Macaca fascicularis: one gene and its partner. The protein of the gene in region 1 interacts with the protein of each later gene in a pairwise test. Links are inferred from orthologs where the notes say so. Each region holds a gene or a part of one and is shown on either strand. Other genes may lie near its edges.

Region 1 (7,322 bases):
GTGGAGTACTGATGCTCCCCAATTGTTCATGCTTGGTGCAGATTCACCATTCGGTCGATCAGAGCTCGACGAGTCGCCTCTACTTCCCTGGTCAGGCGCTCGATTTCCTGCTTGAGCCGTTCATTCTCTTCAGCTAGCTGTGCCACTTTCCTTTCATTCTCCTGTTCTTTCTCCTTCATGCGCTGCTTTCCAGCCCGGGCTGGGGAATGGCCACTCTGTTTCCGTTTCCTGGTTCTCCCTTGGTCTTCCTCCTCTTCCTCCTGAGCCAGGGAGCTCTGACTGGAATCTGGAGAGCGAGGGCTCTGGGAGGTGGTTGTGACCTCTGCTGGTTCTGGCTCCTCCTCAGTCAGCCAAGCCAGCGAAGCAGGGTCAAGAGTGGTAAAGGTTTTTGATTCTTCCTTCAAGGAAATGAAGAAAGGGAACGTAGATATTAATTGAGAAGGAAAAGATAACATCCCCCTTTAGCTTTAGGCCTAGCATTCTTACCTCTTCATTTCCAGGAGGTGAGACATAGGTACCCCCATTTTCGTCTGAAGACAGGACCTCTTGCAGGTCCTCATACCAGGCTTCCAGCTCCCAGCTGGACAGTGTCCCGAAGGAGAAAGGCAATGACTCAGCTGCCATCTCTGCAGTTGGATCAGTCTGGAAAAGCACATTTGCAGGGTAATGGGGAGTGGCTGGAACAAGCTCCATGTAGCAAACAGTCTATGCCACAGGTTGGCAAGCTGGTCTGATGCCTGTTTTTGTAGGTAAAGTTGTATTGGAATACAACCACATCTGTTTATTTACATACTGTTTATGGCTGCTTTGGTGCTACAGTGGCAGAGATGAAGAGTCACGCTAGAGACCATAGGGCTCTTAACATCTAAAATATTTATTATCCTGCCCTTTAAAATTTATCAACTCCTAGTTTATATTAATATTCCCTCCTTGCTTTTGCCCAGGACTTGAAGAAGCAAAGTGCCTGGATATCCATGCTTAGGGGATCTGGAGGACTAGTCAAATTCCTGTCCCCATCAAGGTTAGGCTGAGCTGAAGGACTATTTCCCTGAGCTCCCCACACAGGAGAAGGGAGCACAAATGACCTGGTAATTGCTCCTGGAAACTATCAATAGAGTTTGCAAGTGGGACTGAAGACTAGTGAAAGTTTAACCCTGACTGAAGACTGGTAAGGCAAACCAGTTGTCTTTGTTGGGGCTTTCTTTGAGGACCATCTTTCCATTAGGACATTCTTTAAGAAAAGTGGTTTGCTCACCTTGTAGGAGCAAGCCAGGAGAATAGACAGCCTGATAGCAAAAGCTTGCTCAGATTCAAACCCTCCTTTCCCACCTTCTCTAGGTCTTTTCATAATCTCTTAGGGTCTCAGCAAAAGGAGGCTAAGCAGCATCTCTTAGGACTTGGTTTTGGGAAAGGGTAGGTTAAGTTTACCTGCTTTCAGGTGTGGTGATGTATGAAGATACACTTCCTTCTTGAACACTGTAGGCAACAAAGAGAAATGTTAGCCATTTTTGGAAGGGGGAGAGGCAACTTATTTTTTTCTTTTCTTTTGAGACGGAGTCTCTGTTGCCAGGCTGGAGTGCAGTGGCGCAATCTCGGCTCACTGCAACCTCTGCCTCCAGGGTCAAGCGATTCTTCTGCCTCAACCTCCCAAGTAGCTGGGACTACAGGTGCATACCACCGTGCCCAGCTAATTTTTGTGTTTTTAGTAGAGATGGGGTTTCACTGTGTTGGCCAGGATGGTCTCCATCTCTTGACCTTGTGATCTACTCGCCTCCCAAAGTGCTGGGATTATAGGCGTGAACCACCATGCTGGGCCCTTATTTTTCTTTTATCTCCAGCCTCCTACTGGTCCGTCCTTACTTCTGGTCTTGTGGGGTATGCATACTTGGTCCCTGTAGCCATTTCCAAGGGCAGAAGAGGGCCTGACTTTATTTTTAGTTGCTGACATTTGTAGTCCTGGTTACATAATAGCAAAGTTCTGGCCAACTCAGCTTTCTCTAAATTCAAGGCAGGCCTTAAACCTGCCAGGGTAAAGACTAAACTATAGGGAAGGGAACAAATCGTAGCATTTTCCTAACTCCATTCCCACACTGACATCCTGTAGCATTTTCCTAACTCCATTCCCACACTGACATCCTCCAAATGTGTATTTCCAGTCTGGACCTCTTCCAGAACTTCCGACTCTGCTGTCTACTGCCTACTTGCCATTTCTTTTTCAATGTCTAATAGGTACCTAAGACTATGTGCAAACTTGTTGATTTTCCCCTTCCAAGGTCATCCCCATCTCAGATGACAACTCTAGTTGCTTAAGCTAAAAACCTTGGTATCATCCTTCATTCCTCTCACACCCTGCAATCCAAAGTACTAGCAAATTTTAACTTTTTTTTTTTTTTTTTTTGAGACGGGTCTCCCTCTTTTTGCCCAGGCTAGAGGGCAGTGGCACAATCTCCGCTCTGCAACCTTTGCCTCCTGGGTTCAAGCGATTCTCCTGCCTCAGCCTCCTGAGTAGCTGGGATTACAGGCATGCACTACCATGCCTGGCTGATTTTTGTATTTTTAGTAAAGATGGGGTTTCACGTTGGCCAGGCTGGTCTTGAACTCCTGACTTCGTGTGATCCACTCCTCTGGTCTCCTAAAGTGCTGGGATTACAGGCATGAGCCACCATGCCCGGCCCTTAACTCATTCTTTAAAAATGAGTTTTTAAAACTTTGCTTAGAAGAATTTAAACACCTCTAATTCCATTCTTTCCAATCTAGATCAATTCACCACCATCTCTCAATTACTGCAGAAACTTCCTGATTGCAGAAGGTCTTCCCATTTCTTCTCTTGCCACCCCTCCGTAAGTCTATTCACCATACAGCAGCCTGAGTGAACCTTTTAAAACAGGTCATTCCTCTGCTCAAAACTCTCCAGTGACTTCCTATGTCATGTCAGGGAAGTCATTGGAGGGTTTTGAGAGGAGGAATTACCTAAGGTAATTCCTGACCACCTGATGTAACACAGTAACCTCCATCCTGAACATTCTCCATTCCTTTCTCTGCTTTAGCTTTCTCCATGGCACTTATATTTTGTTTACTGTAGGCCTCCCACTGAGATGATTTTTTCCTCTTGCTCACGGATGTTCCCTGAGCCCCAAACTGTTTGGCACACAGTAGGTCCTCATTAAGTATTTGTTAAGAATGAATGAATTCTCCCCAATCTCTCTTATAGGGAAGGGGCAGACGCAGAGTGGCAGCTGCCGATCCCTAGGGACTGGAGATGCAATATTGCCCGAAATATTTCTCTGCAGGGCTGTCTTCCCTGGGGAACCCTCCCTTGCCTTCCAGTGCGTGGGACTTGGCTTTCATCAGCAGTGGAGCCTCAGGTCAGAAGGCTGCAGAGCCAAACGGGGCTGGCCTGATGCAATGGTTACACAGAGATTAGCTGGGAGACAGGACCGGGTTAAAGAGGCAGGGACTAATCCCGAGGGAAGGACGATACCCTGGGGAGACCCCAAATGGCCTCCTACACTTAAGAGATCCAGGCTGCTCTCTTGTGCGGGAGGCCCAGAGACCTCTACGGCAAAGGGAAAACACACCGCTCCCTGTCCATCGGCACCCCTCCCAAAGGCTTGTGTCAAGGTTCCCCTTTCAGCCCTGCAGGGTCCAGTAGCCCCAGCTACCGAGGTGGCCATGCTGACACCAGAGACGCTGAGACTGAGACAGGATTGGGGGTAGGGTAGGGAGAAGGCCGATGGTGGCGAACGGGCGGAAACGGTTTGAGCGATGGTAACTCAGTCTTAGAGCGGGGGTGTGTCCTGCTGCCTCCCCGCGGACAGGCCTAACGAGGTGGCCTGAAGTTGGCTACGGGAGAGAATGAATTTCCCTAGGGCAGCCGAGGTCCCTTTGCCCAGCAGCACAGAGCAGGGCCCATGCTCCGGCTCCGGGCAGGGGTGGAGAGACGCTGTCGTCCGAAGCAATGGGGGTTTGTAAGCACCACCCCAGAATAAGGGACTCTCCCCATTCCTCTCTCGGACGGTCCCTGACTTCACTGTGGAGGCGTGAGGCCAATCCTAAAGAGCGGATGCCCCAACTCTGAGGAGACGGGAGGGCAAAGGGCAGATGGGAGTCAGTACTCGCCTCTCTCCTCAGGTTCCAGCTCTGATTTTGGCTCTGTCGCTGCCACCCGCTCATCTTCAACATGATACGCTCAGTGCCTTAGACTTAAGCCTCTGACCTCGGGAGCGCCTAGCTGTAATCTTTTACCATGGCCTTGCCCTCCTCTCAGGGGCGGGACCCCAAAACCTACCAATCAGAAAGTGGCACGCCGGCATTGGCCCCGCCTCGTCCCTCGTATCCGCCACTCAGGAGCTCCGCAGAACCGCCCCCGTCGCTCCCTCTCGCTAGGGGGTCGACGTAGTGTCGGACCCGGAAGTGGCTTTGGGTCACGAGGCTTCACGGAGGCGGTGGGTGAGTCATGCGCGCGCGCGGAGGGGAGTGTAGCGGGGGGAGGGGAGGAAAGGGGGGCGGGGATGATGCAATGTTTGGCAACTGGTGTCTGCACGCGCACGCGCAGGGGACTACGAGGGTGGTGGGAGGTGCAGAGGGTGGGGGAAAGGAGAGAGGGCGGGGCGCCAGCTCCCGGCGCCCAACGGCCCCAACGGCTATCAGCGTTGGCCGTCCGTAGTCGGTCGTGTGGAGCCTCTTTGCCGCTTGTCTCCCCCAGAAGCTGCTGTTCCGCCCACCGAGCTTTAGCCGGCGTTTTACCTCCACTATAAGGGACTCCCATTTTCCTTGGCCCCTCCCAGCTAATGGTCATATAGGCCTTTTGAACTTTTCCTTTGAAAGTTGGTATCCATCCACTGGGATTGTCGACATCTCGAGAGTCTTAGAGAGGTCTCCGGGCTCGGTGACTCATGCCTATAATCCCAGCACTTTGGGAGGCTGAGGAGAGCGGATCACTTCAGGTCAGGAGTTCCAGATCAGCCTGACCAACATGGTGAAACCCCGTCTCTACTAAAAATACAAAAATTAGCCGGGTGTGGTGATGCGCGCCTGTAATCCCAGCTACTCTGGAGGCTGAGGCAGGAGAATCGCTTGAACCCTGGTGGCGTATGTTGCAGTGACCGAGATCGCGCCACTGCACTCCAGCCTGGGTGACAGAGCGAGACTACGTTTCACCGAAAACGAAAAACAAATAAAAAAAACCGGGGTCGTCTAGCCCCGTAAATCTCCCAAAAGGGGCCGAGGTACTGGAATCCCTTGGTAGTCATTTTCCGCTTCTCTCACAACAGCGCCCTTGACTTTTACCTTGGAGTTGCTAAGCCCTCAGCCTGCCAGAAGTCATGTATTTTACCCAGTGGACCCAATTCTGTTTGGCCACCTATTTTCCCCCACTATACTCTTACGGCTTTCTCCAATACCAAGACCCTCTCTTGCTGTACCAGACAGCAAGTCCTGTGACTCCCTGCTGTGAGGAGCGCGGCACAGGCCTGCCTCCTAGGTGTTCGGGTCGAGATTTACAGCGGAGTCTCATCCTGGGACGTGTAAGTGCACTTCAGCGCAGGACCGCCGTGGACTGGGGAGACCGGGGCCGCGATTTTAGCCTCAACTCCCCCTCACTTACCAAGGGATCTTACCGTCCTTGTTTGTAAATCAACGAGTTGTAAGGGTAAAATGAGAACCATGAACTTGGAGGCAACTTGAACAAAAGTAAAACGCACCACGCAGAATGCAAAGTATTTTTCTTGTGCCTTGAAAACAGAGGCCATGTGGTGGCCTGTTACATATCCTGTCATACCCTCATGGGGGCAGCCAGAGTTTAAGTAGAAACTGTCACAAGGCCGGTTGTGACTGGAGTGGTGTTTCTGTGACAGGTCTTTGGTTAGGCTGCTCCGTTGCTCCACACCTCCATTTCCCCTCTGAAAATGGGGGTGGTGTGGGGGGTGGACCAGATGGTCTCTCCTGGCCTAAAGACAGACCAGGTTGTCAGTGACAGGCAGAGGTCATGTGACTTGACAGGCCGAGGTCGTGTTGTGACATGTTGACCTGGAGAGGCGGGTCAAGTCCCAGCACACTACCCGGGAAGCCTTTGGGGCGGGGCAGGGCAAGTCGCGACTTTCATCTTTCGGGCCTGGCCCCTCCCGGACCTGGCATTCCTGGCTCCCGCAACAGACTGTGGCTTTGGAAGGGGCCCCTCCCCGAGGAGGGCTGGGATTGGCCACCAGTGGCCTGGGGAGAGGCGCAGATCCTTCCGCGGAGGGAGGGGGGCCGCGTGGGGTGTTTGTTCTCTTGGGGATTAATGGGGGGTTGTGGGGGAGGGGTAGGCGCGCTCCCGCATGCGCACTGCGGCCCCTCCAGTTGGCTCGTCGCTGTCCGCTGGGCGGGGGCCCGGCCCCGCCCCTCTCCCGGCCGGGCAGCGGCGGAGGCGGCGGTGGCTGCGGCGGTGGCTGCGGCAGCGACGGCGGCGGCGGCGACAGCGGCAGCAGCCTGCGCAGTGCCTTCTGGGAACGGAATCCCCAGGGCTGCCCCTGGCCCCCATGGCGCATGCGCGGGAGGCCGCTCGGTGATCCGCGGCGGCGGCAGCGGCGCTTCCTGCTAGGACCGGCCGGGGCCGTACCGGAGGCTCGGGCTCCACCGACCCTCCTCCCACCCCCTCCCACTCACTCTCTGGGCCGCGACTGCGCAGGGCGGGGCCGGCCGAACCATGGGCCGCGGTGAGTGCGGGGCCCGGCCCCCCCACCCCGCCCCTCCCCCTCCCCTCCCCTCCTGTCCCTACCCTCTGCCCCCTCCGCGTCCTCTCGGCCCCTTTCCCCGGCCCCATCCCCACTCCCCCGCCCTCACCTGCCCCCGCCGCTTCTCCCTCTCACTGCCTGACTTCTGCCTTCTTCACCGCCCTCCCCTCAGTGCTTCGCCCACCCTCCGCCCGCCCTCTCCCCAAGTTCCTTCCTACTTCGTGCGCCTTCCCCTCCTCCTCAAGCTGAGGGAAGCAGTCTGGGTGACAGGGCGCCTTGTTATGAGAGGGAAAGTTTGGAAGCCGCCAGTGTGGGGTGGGAGCGATGGTGAGTCTGGGGAGGATACCTGCAGATTGGAGGGGCTTCCCCTCCTATCGGAGGATAGGCTCTCTTGGAGATATCGGAGAACAGGCTCTTTTGGAGTCAGTGGGATAGGAGGTACTGAATCTCTTTGCCTTAGGCTTGAGGGAAAATCAGGAGCTTCTCAGGATCCTGGGAAAAGACTGAGCTGTGATCCTCACCTTTTAAGACCCGAATGAACTAGATCAGCGATTGTCTGATGGAGCAGGCATGGGGGGAGTTCTGCTGGTACCACCCCAGCGGGCAGTT
Region 2 (7,238 bases), on another chromosome or scaffold:
AAGTCCCCTGGGCTAGCCCAGTATGGGGGCCTGAGGGCCTGGAATCCTCTGGGAGGGACTGTGGAGAGCGCCGGTCAGCAGGGGGCTCCCATCACTCTCCTCCTGCCAGTCTCACCCGCACCCCCTGAGAAGCTGGTTGATGTAGGGAGGCATCCACCTGGGGACTGTGTAGGGTGATGAAGGGTGGAGAGGGTTCTGGAGGGACAAAGGAAGACATTCAACACACTTGTTTATTGACTTTTTCTTCCTACTCCTGCTGAGAACTTGTCTCATTTCCAGAAAAGATACTCAACAAATACTTGTTGAGTAAGTTATGTTGGCCAAAACCAATTGAGGTCAGATGGAAAGCCTCCTTCAGGAAGTGTGCCCTCTGGCTCTGACTCATCCCCCTGGAATATGATCTGACGCAAAGGATTGGGATGTGTTCAGCTGCTGCACGTCACGCTGGGATCGCAGTGGGGAGATGGGGATGTGACTCCTCCAGACTGGGTACCAGTCAGGAAGGCTCCACTAGGCACCGGCCCTGAGGACCTGACGGAGTGAGTGGGGGCCTGAGAGGAGATACAATTCAGAGCTGTGGGAACGAAGCCTGGGCTTGATGCTGAAGCAAGCCAGGTCCCATCACCCAGAACCTTGAAAGTACGTCAAGGGACAGTGGTCTTGAGCTGAGAGGAGGAAATCCGGAGGTTGAGTCATTTACCATGTTCTGTACAAACCTGCCTTATGCAACCTATCCCCCTGGGCTGAAAGGAAGGTGTGAGGATTCTCCCAGGTGCCCACAGAGACTGGTACCTCCCCTCCTTCCAAACTCAGGAAGCTCCCATCAGTCCCTACACTGAAGGTTCAGCTCTGTCCCTCCAAACCAGACCTGGGGCACGGGCCTCCAGGACACAGAGGTAGGAGAGATGGTGCCCGAGAGACACAGGGGCAAAAGCAGGAAAAGGACTGAGTCCTGGGCAAGATAGACATGTCACACACAGATGCCCGAGGTGTGGGAGGGCTCTACTGCTGGAGATTTGAAGAAGGGAGAGAGATCTGGGATGATCCAGACACCAGTCTCTTGCCCTCTCAGAAAATTATTCCTTGATGTCTGACTCAGGCTTTCCCAGCACTGGCCTAGGAGAGACTTTAACAAGTCCTTAATCTGTCCCTGGCTCCCTGATACTGTTGAGCACTGTTCTTTACTGAATGTGATTCATGTGACACTCAAACTGAGTATCCGTGAGGAGAGTGTCGCACGGAGTAGAGAGAGAGGTACCATGTACCGAGGCAGCAAAGGGACTCAGTGAGTGTCAGGAGAAGCCTCTTACCCCCTCTGGCCCTCAACTGCTTTATCTATAAAATGTGGCTCACCCTATCTTGCTGGTCTGAGGGCAGAGCCGATGATCTCTTGAGGTCTCTTCCAGCACATCTTGAGATCTGTGATTTTATGGAGCTAATTTTGGTTCTGCCTCTAAACAATTGTGTGACTCCAGGTAAGTCCCTTCCCCTCTTTGCGGCCTGTTTTCTTACCTACAAAATGAGTTTAGATGAGATCTCAGAGGTCTTTTCAGTTCCAGCAAAATGGAGGAATCATCATAAATATGCTTATTACATGCAAAGTTTTCTTTTTCTATGAATATAACACTACAGAGTGGGTACGAATATTGCTACCATTTTGCAGATGAGGAAACCGAGGCACAGAGAGAAGTAATGGCTGAAGGCTCACAGCTAGTAAGTAGCAGAGTATGATTCAAACTGAGGCTCTTAATTACTGTACCATCTGTCTCTTAGGCTGGAGTCCAATGCCAAAGAAAATGCTGCTTTGAGTGAGGGGTGTCCCTGGCACAGGCAGATTGTCATCCTCCTTCTCATTACCAGTGTTCTCATACACAAATCCGCTTTCCAGGTCTCTCCCAACTGATTCCTGTCCCATGCACTCAATTCTCAAGCTTTACGGAACTGGAGCCCCAGGGATGAGGGACAAAGGATGGAAATGAGTAGGTGGGAGCAGCATTGGGAGGGTGTCCATCTGGTAGACTGAGGCATCGGAACTGGAGAGAAGAGATGGCAGGCTGGATCAAGGGACCATAAATATGGCAGAGCCATCAGGAATTTTCCTGTGGTCACCTGGGGCAGGAGCTCCCAGACCTATACTTCGAGGTGAGAGAGGGTGGACCTGGGAGCCGCAGGCCTGGGCATGAAGGACTGTGTGGTGCCAGGATCTCCCTACAAGCTACAGATCTTTGTTAGCAGAGCATACAAAGGTTGCTCCAGGTCCTGCGGGGGGCGGGGATGTGCCTTCAGATCACAGAAGCGGGTGATGGGGATGTCAGGGAGAGAAAAGCAGAGTGGCAGATACATGGTCTGGTTGTGTAGCATGTAGGGGGCTGGCTGTGGACAGCATGTCTGTGTTTCCACATGTCCATTTGGATATGGAAACAAGAGGTGCAGACCTAGCCACATGCATCCTCTGTCCCCAGGGTCCTCCATCACACACACACACACACACACACACACACACACACACACACACACACACACACACACACACAGAGCCAACAGTCCCAACACCCAGTCACAGTGCAACTTTATTCAGCCACATAATCATTATGCTGGGTCCTGCCCTTCCTTGCCACCCCGGTTGCCATTTATCCATGGTCTATGTCTCAGGGTTCTAGGCCCCCAGCAGGATGGGGGTTCGCAGAGTCAGGCCGTGCCACGGAGCCTGGTGCCCAAAGTCCACCAGCCAGACTCAGCTGCAGCCCCCCACGCCCTTGATGAGGTTGGCCGCCTCAGGGATCTGGCGGAAGAGGTTGCGGAGGGTGTCTAGCTCCTGGGTGAGCTGCTCCACGCGGCTGCGGAGGCGCTCGTTCTCTGCCATGTACTCCAGCACCTTCTGCTGCGTCTCCAAAATGCGCCTCTTGGCCTTGTCCCGGCTCTTGCGCACGGCGATGTTGTTGCGCTCCCGCCTCAGCCGGTACTCAAGGCTATCTTTGTTCACTGCCTTCTTGCCCTTGTGTAAGGGGCCAGCGGGGGAGGGCGCCTTCAGGAGGGGACTGCAGGGCGGTGCGGCAGTGGCCAAAGGGGCCTGGAGGGGAAGGCACGGAGAGACGGAGAGGTGAGGGCTGGCCAGGAGGCAGAGCGAAGGCGGGACGAGAATCTCTGCAGCCAGGGCACACTTGCTGCATCGAAGGAATACAGGACTCAGAGCCAGCTCCTGTCTCTCAGGTCAAAACTATCATCACCCTGCTTCTGGGAGATGGTGACCCAGATGCACAGGGTTCTCTGCTTGAGACCAAAACTCCCTTTCACGTCCTCACGCTTTCTTTCTTTCTTCTTTTTTGTAAAGATGGAGCCTTGCTATGTTGCCCAGGCTGGTCTCCAACTCCTGGCCTTAAGCGACCGTCCTGCTTTGGCCTCGCAAAGCGCTGGGATTACAGGCATGAGCCGCTGCACCCAGCCAATGTTCTCACACTTTCTGAGTACACTTTCCCTCAATCTGTCTTGAGTCTCCTGTTCTATGACCAGCAGACATTTCTTACAGAAGCAGGCGGCAGAGAAACAAGAGGAGGGGGCATGGTGAGCAGCAGAGAGGCTGGTGGTGGGGGGCCTGAGATCAAGGTAGGCCAGCTTGCCGCAGGGTCTTTGGGACATGGTGGGGATTCAGGGTGGGAATGAATTCACAGAGAAGGAAAGGGAGGTCATGGTGCGGTGTGAGCACAGAGGACTGTGGGTTGGGTTCATTTCACAGAGCAACACCAAGCACAGACTCAGCAGCGTGAGCAGGGGCACAGGGTCCTGTCCACACCAGCCTCTCCAGCCCGGGGCAGGAGGGAGGAGGGCTGACCTGCTCTTACCTTGAGAACGCGCAGAGGCTGGCCGGGTGCTGCCAGGGTTGGGGGCAGGTGCATGGCTGTCTGCCCACAGTGTGCCACTTGGTACTGCAGGGGATTGTAGCCGCCTCGGCTGGCAGCTCGGCTGCCCTCTGGCCCCCGGGGCTCCTCCTTCACCGCCACAGCCCTGGGGTCGTAGCTCCCTGGGTTGCTGTAGATGCCAGGCCCCAGCGCCTTCCTGTCTGGGCCGAAGGTATGTGGAGGGTAGGCAAAGGGCCGAGGGTCAGGCGGCAAGTAGTGGGGGAAGGCAGGGGTTCCGGGGCCCTTGAGGCCTCTGGCCTCAGGCGCTGGCTTCACCGCAAAGAGATCGGAGAGAAGCTGCTCTTCCCCAGACTCGATGTAGGCAGAGAGGTCAATGGAGGCCTCATGCTCACACATGTCCCCCAGATCCCCGGGCCCAGCTCGGCCCCCTGAGAACTCAAGTGGCTGCTGGCCGCCCCGGGGCTCACACTCGTAGTAGGTCCCGTGGGACATGGCCGGCCCGCCCCCTCGGCTCCCCGCCCCCACCTGCTCTTGAGGCACCCCTTGGGGTGCTCGGGTTGCCCTCTCTCTACCTCCTCCTGACCTGGGCCTGCCCTCTCTCGATCTCCTGCCCTAGACCTGCCCTCTGCAGTCTCCTCTGTCACCCACTCCTGTGTGGCCTCTCTCCCCCCTCTGCTCTGCTTCCTTTTCCTTCCTCTGTAGTCAATGCCTCTCTTCTCTTCCCTTTTTTCCCCTCTCTCCCCTTGGGGTGACTCAGGGAGGGGCAGGACACACCCCAGAGGGAGAGATGTAAGCCTTAGAGAAAGGCGACTCCTGGCCTATTCAGCAGTTGGGGACACTCCTTGGTCAGGGTCCAAGCCAGGGTTCTGGAGATGCCAGAAGCTGATGCTTCTGGGAATGCCTGTCCACTCCCTCCTGAGCCCAGGGGACTCCAAATCCTCACCAAGGGCAACACCCTACTCTGAGCGTCCTCCTCCCTCCAACTGTGAAAAAGTTCTATGCAGAATGAGGTTCCAGGTTAGAGTGAAGAAAGCCCTCTTCCAGTGCCGACCCTCAGTTGGGTCTCAGCTCCTCCCTTGACATGCCTTCCTCTGGCTCTCCCCTGATGCTGGGCTCCACCTACTCCCAGGAGACAGTTTCTTTTGTGGCCTCACCTCCCAGAGCATTCTCTGAGTGTAGGCCAGGGTTTTGTTTTGTTTTGGTTTGTTTTTGAGGGGTCTGGGGAGTAGTGATAGGTCCTAGGAATAAGCTATACATGGGAGCCTGCATGGTGCTGGAGAGAGTACGCTCATTTGCTAGGTTTTTGCACAGGGGCTGTGCAATAGCCCAAATATGAGTATGTTTCCAGCCCCAGCTACCTGTAGCAGCCTGGCACAGTTCCTAACTCCCTGGGCTTGGTTGAAGCACCTGGTCAGGACTTGGGCCTTGCACTGCAGGCCCAGGCAGGCTGCTGCCCTTGGAATAGACAGTCATAATCCTCCGGTGGCTCCAGCACTTCTCTCTTCCAGCTGTTCTCTGCTGCAAGAGGCTCAGGCTGGCGCTTTGCCCCTCACCCTGGGCCTGAGGCTCTGCCTCTGGTTTCCTGTGCCCTGGGCTGCAGGGCTCAGGAGCTTGCTGCAGCTCGTTTGCTGTCTTTCCTTTTGCATGGCTGCTCTCTGATCTCCAATGTGTGTCTCTTGGGTCTACTTCCTCTTGTGAGGTTTGAGAAGCCTCTTATGTCATCACCTCTTCCTGGGGCTCTGTTTTAGGGTCTCCAGGAGAAGCCCATGGCTCTCTATCTGCAATTCTTGGTTCTGTGCTGGCTCTCCTCTTCCCTTTTCTCTTTCCTTTGGGAACTCCCAACTGCCTCCTTTCAGAGACACCTGCTCAGGTCCTGCTTTTACCTGTTGAATTTCATCTCCAAAAGGTCCAGCGGAGGGGGGGGGGGTGGGGGTGGGGGGGAGGAAAGGGCACATAGAAATGTTACTGTCTCTTTTATGACCAGCAAGTACTCTGGGTGCCCCAGGGGGGCCAGAAGTTTTTGTAAGTTGGGCCAAACAAGGGCTGGGTCACTGTGAGTGGGCCCCAGTGGGACAAGTGCAGAGAGGATGTGTGTGGCATTGAACATTAAAATTTTAAAAATGTGTATTCTGGTTAGCATATTCCTTCCATCCTCCCTACCCCAACACCTACCCTAGATGCTGTCTGTGCATGACTTGAGACACAGCCAGATATGCTTTCTCTGAAAGCACAGTGACCTGGTATGAGGAGATCTGTGTGCATCCCAGAGACAGATGTCAGGAATTAGGGAGATTTCTCCATTTCAAAGCTGAGCTCTCAGTTTGGTGGCAGTGCTTCTGTTGACCACCAGGTGGCAATATTGGCCCCAATATTTCGGACTTGGAGGGCTGCTGTGGTCCGGACTCAGGTGGACAGCAGAGGGCAGCCTCTCACAGCTCTGGCTCTCAGCAAGCTCCTGCGGGGGGTCTGGAAGGAGGAAGAGGAGACCTGGCTGGGATGGGGTCTTGCAGTGCAGTTCTAGGGAGAATAAGCAGCTTGCAAGTCCTGCGTCCAGGGCCTTGTCTCCATGAGGAGAAATTCTGTCCCCTCCGCTACTTTGAAATAATGATAATGAATAGGCCTTGTGCTTTCTGATACATTAATGCTTTTTCAATCCTTGAAACATACACTTTTTCATGCTCTTTGCCTATGGGTTATGCAGGAAGGTAGGCAAGGCAGACAGTATTTTTATTCCTACTTTATAAACAAGGATAACAAGGCTGAGAGGCTGAGCTGCCCAAGGTCATCCAAGGAGGATGCCTGGTTCATCTCTGGCTGAAGGGATGGGAAGGGGTTGCTATGTGACTTGGAGAACCTTCCTGGCCCTCATTTGGCCACCATGGGGAGAGGGAAGTCTGCATCAGTAGCTGCGCAGGAGGAAGTGGGAGGTATGTAAATAGAGCCGCAGGAAATGAGAAAGTCAGCAGCTTTAGCCATGGTGAGATAAATCTCTGCCCCGGCCTCCCCGGCTAGTGCTGACGTTGCTGGTACGCTGACCTCAGTGTTTCCCAGTAACAGGGGTTTGGCTGGGGCAGGCAGGGCTCTGGATGTCAGGGTAGGGTAGGGGGAGCTCTGGACAGGAAGGGGAGGTGGGGAGGGCAGTGCCAGTCAGTGGCTGGGGGATGCTTGCTCAGGAGAGGAAAGAAGCTCTCCCGGGTCAGCAGGATCATTTTTCCTTTGCCACTGCAGTTACTACCTGTTTGGATGAACTGAAATGATGCATGTTTGTTATCTTAGTGACTTTGTAACAGGCCTCCTTCCAGTGCCACTTTTTTGGTGAATTAAGACTTTCCCAGTAGGAAGGTAGCTGAGCATGGCTGTGAAGTGTTAAGAGAGAACTGG

The links.
Region 2: the proteins of DDIT3 (region 1) and CEBPE interact in binary tests that used the Homo sapiens proteins (3 or more experiments, as listed by UniProt). The link is inferred for Macaca fascicularis from reciprocal best matches to the Homo sapiens genes DDIT3 and CEBPE.

Annotation. Positions count from the first base shown.
Region 1 is NC_088385.1:64,326,334-64,333,655, forward strand, and holds the start of DDIT3 (DNA damage-inducible transcript 3 protein), read right to left. Parts: upstream 4,404-7,322; 5' UTR 4,289-4,403; intron 4,218-4,288; exon of another isoform or gene 4,183-4,217; coding exon of another isoform or gene 4,120-4,182; intron 1,477-4,119; coding exon of another isoform or gene 1,435-1,476; 5' UTR 1,429-1,434; intron 738-1,428; 5' UTR 694-737; coding exon 487-693; intron 399-486; coding exon 27-398; 3' UTR 1-26. Other genes in the region: DDIT3 upstream open reading frame protein, read right to left, coding at 1,435-1,476, 4,120-4,182. UniProt on the Homo sapiens protein: Multifunctional transcription factor in endoplasmic reticulum (ER) stress response. Plays an essential role in the response to a wide variety of cell stresses and induces cell cycle arrest and apoptosis in response to ER stress.
Region 2 is NC_088381.1:90,872,984-90,880,221, forward strand, and holds CEBPE (CCAAT/enhancer-binding protein epsilon), read right to left. Parts: upstream 4,532-7,238; 5' UTR 4,350-4,531; coding exon 3,840-4,349; intron 3,071-3,839; coding exon 2,735-3,070; 3' UTR 2,553-2,734; downstream 1-2,552. UniProt on the Homo sapiens protein: Transcriptional activator. C/EBP are DNA-binding proteins that recognize two different motifs: the CCAAT homology common to many promoters and the enhanced core homology common to many enhancers.